Ovis aries: one gene and its partner. The protein of the gene in region 1 interacts with the protein of each later gene in a biochemical or structural test. Links are inferred from orthologs where the notes say so. Each region holds a gene or a part of one and is shown on either strand. Other genes may lie near its edges.

Region 1 (3,742 bases):
CCGGGAGGCCAAGGCGAGCCGGCTACAAAGCAGCAAAGGGAAAACAGGACCCTGACAGGGAGCCGTCTTGAGGCGCGAGCGCAGGTGGCCCCAGCCCGGCAAGCCCCACCTTTCTTGGCTCCCTCGGGGACGATCCGGTACACTTTGTAGGGGTCCGAGATGTCCAGCTGGCTCCGCTCCACCAGCTCCTCGAAGTCGTTGCTCTTGTTCAGAGCACACCGCAGGCGTGTCTTCCAGGTGGGAGGGTCTGGCTTGTCGATGCCTTCTCGAAACTTCCCTTTAAACAGTGCCCAAGCCTGGTGAGAAAAAGTGGGGAAAAGTTAAAATGCAGGTCTTTCAAAAAAGAATCTGGAAATTGTATCTCTAAAGCAAAGAATGGCGGCAGGGGCTTCAGGTCCACAGGAAGGTGGGACAGAGGGTGTTTATGAAAGACGGGTGAGATTGAGGACCCCACAAAGCCCACCCCTCAGGAAGCAGTTAGGCTGGAAGCAAAGACAGAGCTGAGGGCTGAGGGGCCACCGCAGGGCACCTCTGGACGTTAGGGAGCCTGAGGCAAGCCTTACTCTTCCAGCAAGTTTCCTGAGGAAGTCCCCCTGCCACGCTCTGCCCACAGGTGGTGGGGCTGGGCCCTAAAGCACTGGCCACTGGGTAAACTGCCCAAGGGGAAAACGGTCAGGACAGGGACACACACACGGGGCAAAGAGAAACCCCCAGAGAGAGGCCCAAAGGAGACCCTGAGAGGGAGAGAGAGGAGAAAGAGGAAGGGAGAGAGACGGAGAAAACTTTCCAGGGAGAGACTCGGGAAGAGGGAGTCACACAGAGACAGTGAGACAGAGGGAGAGACGCGCCCAAGGACCAGAGAGAGCCCGAAGGAGAGCGCTGGCCAGAGAGGGGGCGTGAGGCGGGACAGCGTGGAGAGGGCGCAGGGACCAGCCCCGAGCGGCGCGGCGCACACAGCTGCCCGCGCGCAAGGAGGAGACACAGTCGGTACGTGGAGGCGAGGAGGTACCCAAAGTTCCAGAAAGAGGGCCCCAGGGAGAGAGAGGCGCAGCCTTGGCCCACCCCTCTACCCGGCGGGAGCGCGGACGGGCATCTGACTCCGGGGGACCGTGCGCCCCTCAGGCGTGGCACCGGCTCCGCCCTCTGCGAAGTTACCAGAGCAGCCGCGGGACCCCCGCGCTCCCGCACCAGGCCCGGTGCGCGCGGCGCGGACCGGCCCCCGGAGCCCGGGGCGGGTCGGCGCGCGGGCCCTGGCCCCTCCCAGCCCCGCCCGGGCACCTTGAAGAGCGCGGCGTCCTCCTCGCGGTTGTAGTCCTGCTTGCCCGCGTGCTTCCAGGGGATGCGGAAGATGCTCTTCTCCTCGTTCTCCCACACCAGCCCCGGGTACTTGCCGCTGTCGATCTGGTCGATGAGCCACTGGCGGAGCTTCCCGTTGCCGCAGCTCACGGAGCTCATGCCGAACTCGCCGCCTCGGCTGCCGCCCTCCAGGTTCATGCCCCGCGCGCCGACGCTGTCCCTTCGCAACCCAGGCTTCGCTCCGGCACTCGCTCCGCGCTGCGGGGAGAGGAGGCGGCCCTCGGCAATGACCACGAGGCCGCAGAGCCTCGGAGGCGGCGAGGCGCGCGCCGCCGAGTCTGTGACGCCCGAGCCGCGAGAGAAGGCCCTTCTCAGCCGCCCCGGCTCGTGCGTGCCCCTGGCGCGCCGCCCTCCCGCCTCCCTGAGCTCGTGCGCGACCTCACCTTCTGGACGCTCCACTCGCGTTTCCCCCCGCGGCCCGCACGCCGCCCAGACTCAGGGCTCTGATCTTCGCGCACCCCCGAAATCCAGCCGCCCCCACGCGTGGGCCTCCGTTTGCTCTCGTACTCCCGCTCCCCTGCCCAGGCCCAAGCCGTGGACAGTCCATCCCCCGTGCCACGGCCAGTTTCCGCCCGCGCCCCCGCCCGCGCCCCCGCGCCCCGGTGGCCCCGCGTGTTCCGCACGCGGGCTCCCCCGTGGCCTGGCCTTCCAGGTGCGCGGCGGCGGCAGCTCCCCCGCGGCTCTCTCTGAAACCCGCACTCTTTGCCCCAAGAATGCCCCGGAGCCCCAGACAGGTAGCGACGACCAGGTGGCCCGGGAGCCACACGCGGCAGAGGGACCCGGCCTCAGGCGGCGAGCGCAGCCTCGTCGTGGGGGATCCCCGCGCGCCGAGCATCAGCCGGGCGGGGAGGCCCGCGGGGAGCGCGGGGGCGGGAAGGTGCCGGGAAGGCGGGGGTCGCGGAGCGCGGGGCCCCTCGTGGCCTGAACTTGGAGCGCCTCCTCTTCCACCACCGGTCGGGAAGACGCGGGCTCGGGGCCGAGGGGGCTGTGAGCCCCTCAAGAGCGAGGAGCAAGAGAAGCAGCCTCGGGAGGAAGGGGCCGTCCCCGCGGTCAGGGCTGCCGCCCGGGGTGGGTCCCTTCGACGACCCCCTCGGGCGCTGATGGCCCAGCGACCTCGTTACCACAGCCGGCCCCGCGCGTGGCCTCCGGGGCCCGGGCTCGGCCGACCCGCGGACGCCGGGGCCGCGGGACTCCCCGGCCAAGGGCAGACGGGGTGGGCGTCGGGGTCCCTCGAGGGGCGTGCTCTCGCCTGGCGCCGACGCCGCGGCGGCCCGCGCTGCCCCGAGGCGGCCCCCACCCGGCTGGCCTCGCGCCGGGCTCCTGCGGTAGCGGGCTGGCAGCCCGCGTCCTTCCCGACCCCAGTCTTACCTCGCCCCGGCTTGAGCTGAGGGCAGCGGTGAGTCCCAAGTCCAAGCAGCGAAACTAACCTCGGAGGTAGGAAAGAGGAACTTTATAAAGCTTGAAAGCCGCGCTCGGGGCGGGGCCTACGCGGGGCGGGGCCGACCGGGGCGCCTCCCGGCGGGGCGGGGGCCGCGGGCGCGGGCCGGGCGCGCGGGGCTGGCCCGGGGGTTCCGGGCAGGGGGCCGGGCGCGCGGGGTGCGGCGGGGTCTGCGGACGGAGGGCCGGGGGCGCGGGGCCGGAGCTGGGCTAGGGGCTGCGGACGCAGAGCGCGGGGCGCGGGGCCGGGTCGGAACCCGGGCTGGCGGGGCGCCGGCTCCCAGCTGGGCGCGCGGGGCTGGTCTGGGGGCTCTGGGCAGGGAGCCGGGTGCGCGGGGTGGGGTAGTGGGCTGCGGACCGAGAGCCGAGGGCGCGGGGCCAGGCGGCGCTGGGGACGCACCTCGAGTCGGGCGCACGGGCCGGGGGAGCCTCACTCGGGCGGTTTCCTGCCGAGGGCAAGGCGCGAGGGGACCTCGTCTCCGCGGCGGGACCGCTGAGCAGGAGCTCAGCTACAGCGGCGCTGTCAGGGCGGGAAGTGGGGGCGTGCAGGAGCGGGAATCTGGTGCGATGGGGACTGGGCTTGCAGAGCTCGTAACCAAAGACAGGACTGTCCGTGTCGACCGACCGTGGGTGGGTGGGGGGCACCCTTGGCTGTCACCGAGAGCCCCGCCCCTCCGCCGTGTTTAGAGAACATCACACTCATTGAAAAGAAAAAAGGAAATGGCCCAGATACCTTGAGCTATAAACTGCGCTCACACGCTGTCTGGGCTTGAAATGCTCTCATCCTGCTGGTCGGCTCAACTGGAGGACTTCAGTAACTGAGACAGCACCCCCACAGCTTTAGCTGTGGCAGCAGGGAAGAACTGGAAGAAGTGTCCAGGTCCACCTCTCAGTGGCATAGTTTTAACCTCAACGTGGGAGAAACAATTTACAAGTGGGAGCTTAAATG
Region 2 (3,742 bases), on another chromosome or scaffold:
GGGAGGGGGAGGAGCCAGGTTCTGGGAATCAGATGGGACACCAGGGGGCAGCATAAGCCTGGCTTTGGCCCCTGAGCCCAGCCCTGTTTGGGGAGAAAGGAGGGGAGTAGAAACTGCCTCCCACCTTCCACTGCTCCTCAGAGACCACCCTTTTCCCATACACATCTCTCAGGTTTGGGGGCTTGAAGGTCCCTTGGCCTCCTCCAGCTCTTCCTTCAGCCAAAGCTTCAAAAACCATCCAGTAGTGACAATGATGACTCAGAAGCTGAGCAAGCCTTGTGCGTGTGAGTGTGTGTCCTCGTGACTGCATGTGGCTCTGAGTGCTGACATGTCTGTGAGCCTGCCTGCACGTGTGTGTAAGCATGTGTGTATGTGGGAGGGAGTGTCCTTCTGGCTGGGGAAGTTGTCTACATGCACGTTTATTTCTGGGTGTGTCTCAGTGTTTACCCCAGAAACAGATAGGAACTTTGCCAAGGTTGCACAGCAGACTCATATTCAAACTTGTCCCTTGGGAATCTACGGGCAGCAACTCCAGCTTGCCGCTGGCTCCTACCTGGGTCTCCGGAGTAGTACCCCATGAGGAGGTGGCGGAAAGGATTTTCAGTTCCAGGCATCCCTGGAGGCCTACAGGATTGTGAGCTTCACAGCCCCCTCCCCCACTCCCTCCCATCAGCGGGTCACGAGACCTCTAGGGCGTTCCCCACCCAGCAGGGAGGGGAACCGAGGAGTCCCAGCTCCCCGGCCGCTTTCAGGGTCTTCCACTGGAGGGAGTGCAGGGCCAGAGGGATTTCTTTTTCCAGAGCCCCCCGCCGGCCCCCCACCCCGGGGGGGTGGGGAGCCCAGTCCTTCTTGAGCCCAAACCTCCGGCCCTTGCAAGAGTTTGAGTATGGGAGCTGTAGTTTGGGGTGGCTTGTCTCTACTTGATATTAGGTGACTTTCTGGAGGAAAGTTGATTGTTTTTGATGGGGGACAGAGTAAGCGGGGATCAGCCTTTCCTCCAGCCTGGCGCCAGGGGCCCCCAAGCCCCAGTCCTGGCTCCCCCTCCCAGCCCATGCTCCCCTACTCCATACCAGAGGCACACATGCTCACCCCACTTTCTTCCTCTTCCTCCTCCAGCCCACTTTCTCTTCTCTGTGTCGTCAGAGCTCCAGGGAGGGACCTGGGTAGTCGGAGAAGCCGGAAACAGCGGGCTGGGGCAGCCACTGCTTACACTGAAGAGGGAGGACGGGAGAGGATTGTGTGTGTGTGTGTGTGTGTGTGTGTTTTCTTTTTGGTGGTGGTGGAGGAGGAGGGGTGCTAGCAGGGCCAGTCCTGAACCCGCTGGACAGAGCTACAGACCCATGGGGCCTGGCAGAGCCCGCTGAGAGAGGGAGACGACAACAGAGGGGTTGCCAAGGTGAGGGGATGCCTCCAAGGAGGGAGGGTGGGGGGCCTCTGACTACCAATGTGGGGGGAGGATGGGAGTGCTTTTCAGGATCCTGCCTGGGCAGAATGGATGGTCCCCAAGAAATTGTTTCAGCTGGGGCTGGTGGCTGGTGTTACTGAGTTTTGGCAGTTTCGAAATATCAGAGGAATCTGGAGTGGGTGCAGGCCCAGCACTTGCCCTGCTCCTCCCCAGCATGGGTCACTTTTTCCACACACCCCATCCCCCGCAATCCAGGGACGTGTTAAGGCAGGGGAAGGAGGGCAAGGAGGTGCCCCTCTGCCCTCTGGGTTTGGGGGAAGTGGCAGCCCCTCCCTATAGAAAACTGATGGCAGGGGGCAGTGGGTCCTCCACAGACCCCTATCCGGGCCCCCCACAAAGGTTCCTCTTCAAGGGTGTGGCCAGGGGGTGAGCGTGTCCCAGAAGTAGAACCTCATGGTGCCCCAGAGGAGGGGGAATTTCCCCCTCAAAACTGCTCCACGCTGGGCCCGGCGGCGTCACGGAGTTAACCCTCCCGGTGCCTAACTGGCTCCGCCTCCCCGCGCCCCTCCCCGCCCCCACCACAGCACACACACACTAGGCAACTCAGAGAAGCTCTTTTGACTTCTGATCCTGTGGTCCCACGGTCAGAGGGCTCAGGAATGTCGGGGGTTGAGGTGAAGTTTCGGCCACGAAGCGGGGCTGATGAAGATCCTGGACTTCCCTTCCCCATGGGGAAGGGAACGCGGGCCCCGCCCCCCCAGGCCGTGGCTCCTCCCTCCCTGTCGGTATTCAGTGGGGTTTACAGCAGAAGATGCCCCTGGCCTGGCTGGCCGATTGAGCCAGCCTGGTTATTGGGTGGGAGTAGGGGAAAGTCTGGCCCCTCGTTGTCTGACGATGGAGTAGGGGAGATTTGAAGGCAGGGCCATGCCAGGAAGCTGGTCACTCTTCCTAATCTAGGGGATATGGAGGAAAGGGGAGCTGCCTCTGACTTAGGGATCACCTCGGTCCCCCAGTAGGGTAGAGATAGAGGTCAACGGTCTGAGCACCCTGAGAAACAGGAGCGAAAGAGGGAAGAGAGGAATGGAGTCCTCCCTTAAGTTTGAAACACAAACCAAAAGGTGCCCCACCCCAAGGTGGGTGTAGAGAAAGGTCTATGAAAGGACCCTGAGCAGGAGGGGGAGGATTCTGCCTTTGGGAGAAAAGAGGTCAGGGGGATATAGGAACTGTTCTCTGTTCCTTTGGGAGTCCTGGGAGAGGGGAGAAGCTAACGTGCTGCAGCAGAACTTGGGGCTAAGTGGGTTGAGGGAGACCTAGGGAGTTTCCACCCCCATCCTTTCTGTCATCTCTGGGAAGAGAAACATGAACTGAGAGACCCCTGGGGAACCACTGGTTTACCCACTCTGCCCTGCAGTCCACCTAGGATGGGGAGGCAACTACCTCCTACCTTCTCCCATCTCCTTGCCTCTTGCCCCCTTTCCTTCTCTTCCTTGTAGTCCTCTAGCCTCTCCGCCTCTCTTCCAGGCTTTTTGCTGCAGGCTAATTAACCTCACTTTTTCTCCTTCCTGAGTTCTCTCTACTTTTCCTCTTGCTCTATCTCCTCTTCTTCAGTTCTCCTTCCATGTCCCCCTCCTCTTGGGATTATGAGATCTGGATCCAGAAGGGATCCTAAGGGCACAGAGTGGTGGTTTATCCCCACTTGGGTTTGGATCGCTTGCAGAGTGGCCTTGGCAAGTTGGAGAACCTCCTTGAGCTCAGTTTCTCTACCTGTGACGGAATAATTTTATATTTTAAAAATTGTTGCAAGATTTTAGTGAGGTAAAGCACTCAGTGTAATGCCTCGTACATAGTAAGTGCTTAATGAATGATAGCTATTGTTACTTTACCATCTTCTTCTTCATCTAGCCAGGCAGTTTTCAGATTGTTTCATGGAACCCTAGAATTTTGAGGGATTTCTCCAGGGACACCTTTGGGGTCCAGAGGTGGAGAGAGGGAAGCAAGAAGTTGTAGATTTCCAGGTCTACCACACTTGATTTCAACAGAGAAATTCAAATTTTACAGAACTGGCTAAAATGGTCTACTTCTTTAAAAAGTTTGGAAAGTTCATACCTTACCCAAGCCTCATATTTTGTAGATGAGAAGATTGAGGTCCACGGAGGGGAGGTTTCTTTTTGTTTGTTTGTCTTTAAAATCTTGTGAGCATGCCACAGGTCATGTGGGATCTTAGTTCCCCGATCAGGGATTTGCTCCCTTCATTGGCAGCATGGAGTCTTAGCCACTAGACCACCAGAGAAGTTTCAAGGGGAGGTTTCCTGCCAACAGAATCAGAGCTGGGTCTAG

The links.
Region 2: the proteins of IRF4 (region 1) and STAT6 form a complex in vitro, tested with the Homo sapiens proteins (2 studies listed by BioGRID). The link is inferred for Ovis aries from reciprocal best matches to the Homo sapiens genes IRF4 and STAT6.

What each region holds. Positions count from the first base shown.
Region 1 is NC_056073.1:51,018,489-51,022,230, reverse strand, and holds the start of IRF4 (interferon regulatory factor 4), read right to left. Parts: upstream 2,785-3,742; 5' UTR 2,725-2,784; intron 1,555-2,724; 5' UTR 1,495-1,554; coding exon 1,279-1,494; intron 297-1,278; coding exon 110-296; intron 1-109. UniProt on the Homo sapiens protein: Transcriptional activator. Binds to the interferon-stimulated response element (ISRE) of the MHC class I promoter. Binds the immunoglobulin lambda light chain enhancer, together with PU.1.
Region 2 is NC_056056.1:162,503,780-162,507,521, forward strand, and holds the start of STAT6 (signal transducer and activator of transcription 6), read left to right. Parts: upstream 1-1,197; 5' UTR 1,198-1,396; intron 1,397-3,742. UniProt on the Homo sapiens protein: Carries out a dual function: signal transduction and activation of transcription. Involved in IL4/interleukin-4- and IL3/interleukin-3-mediated signaling.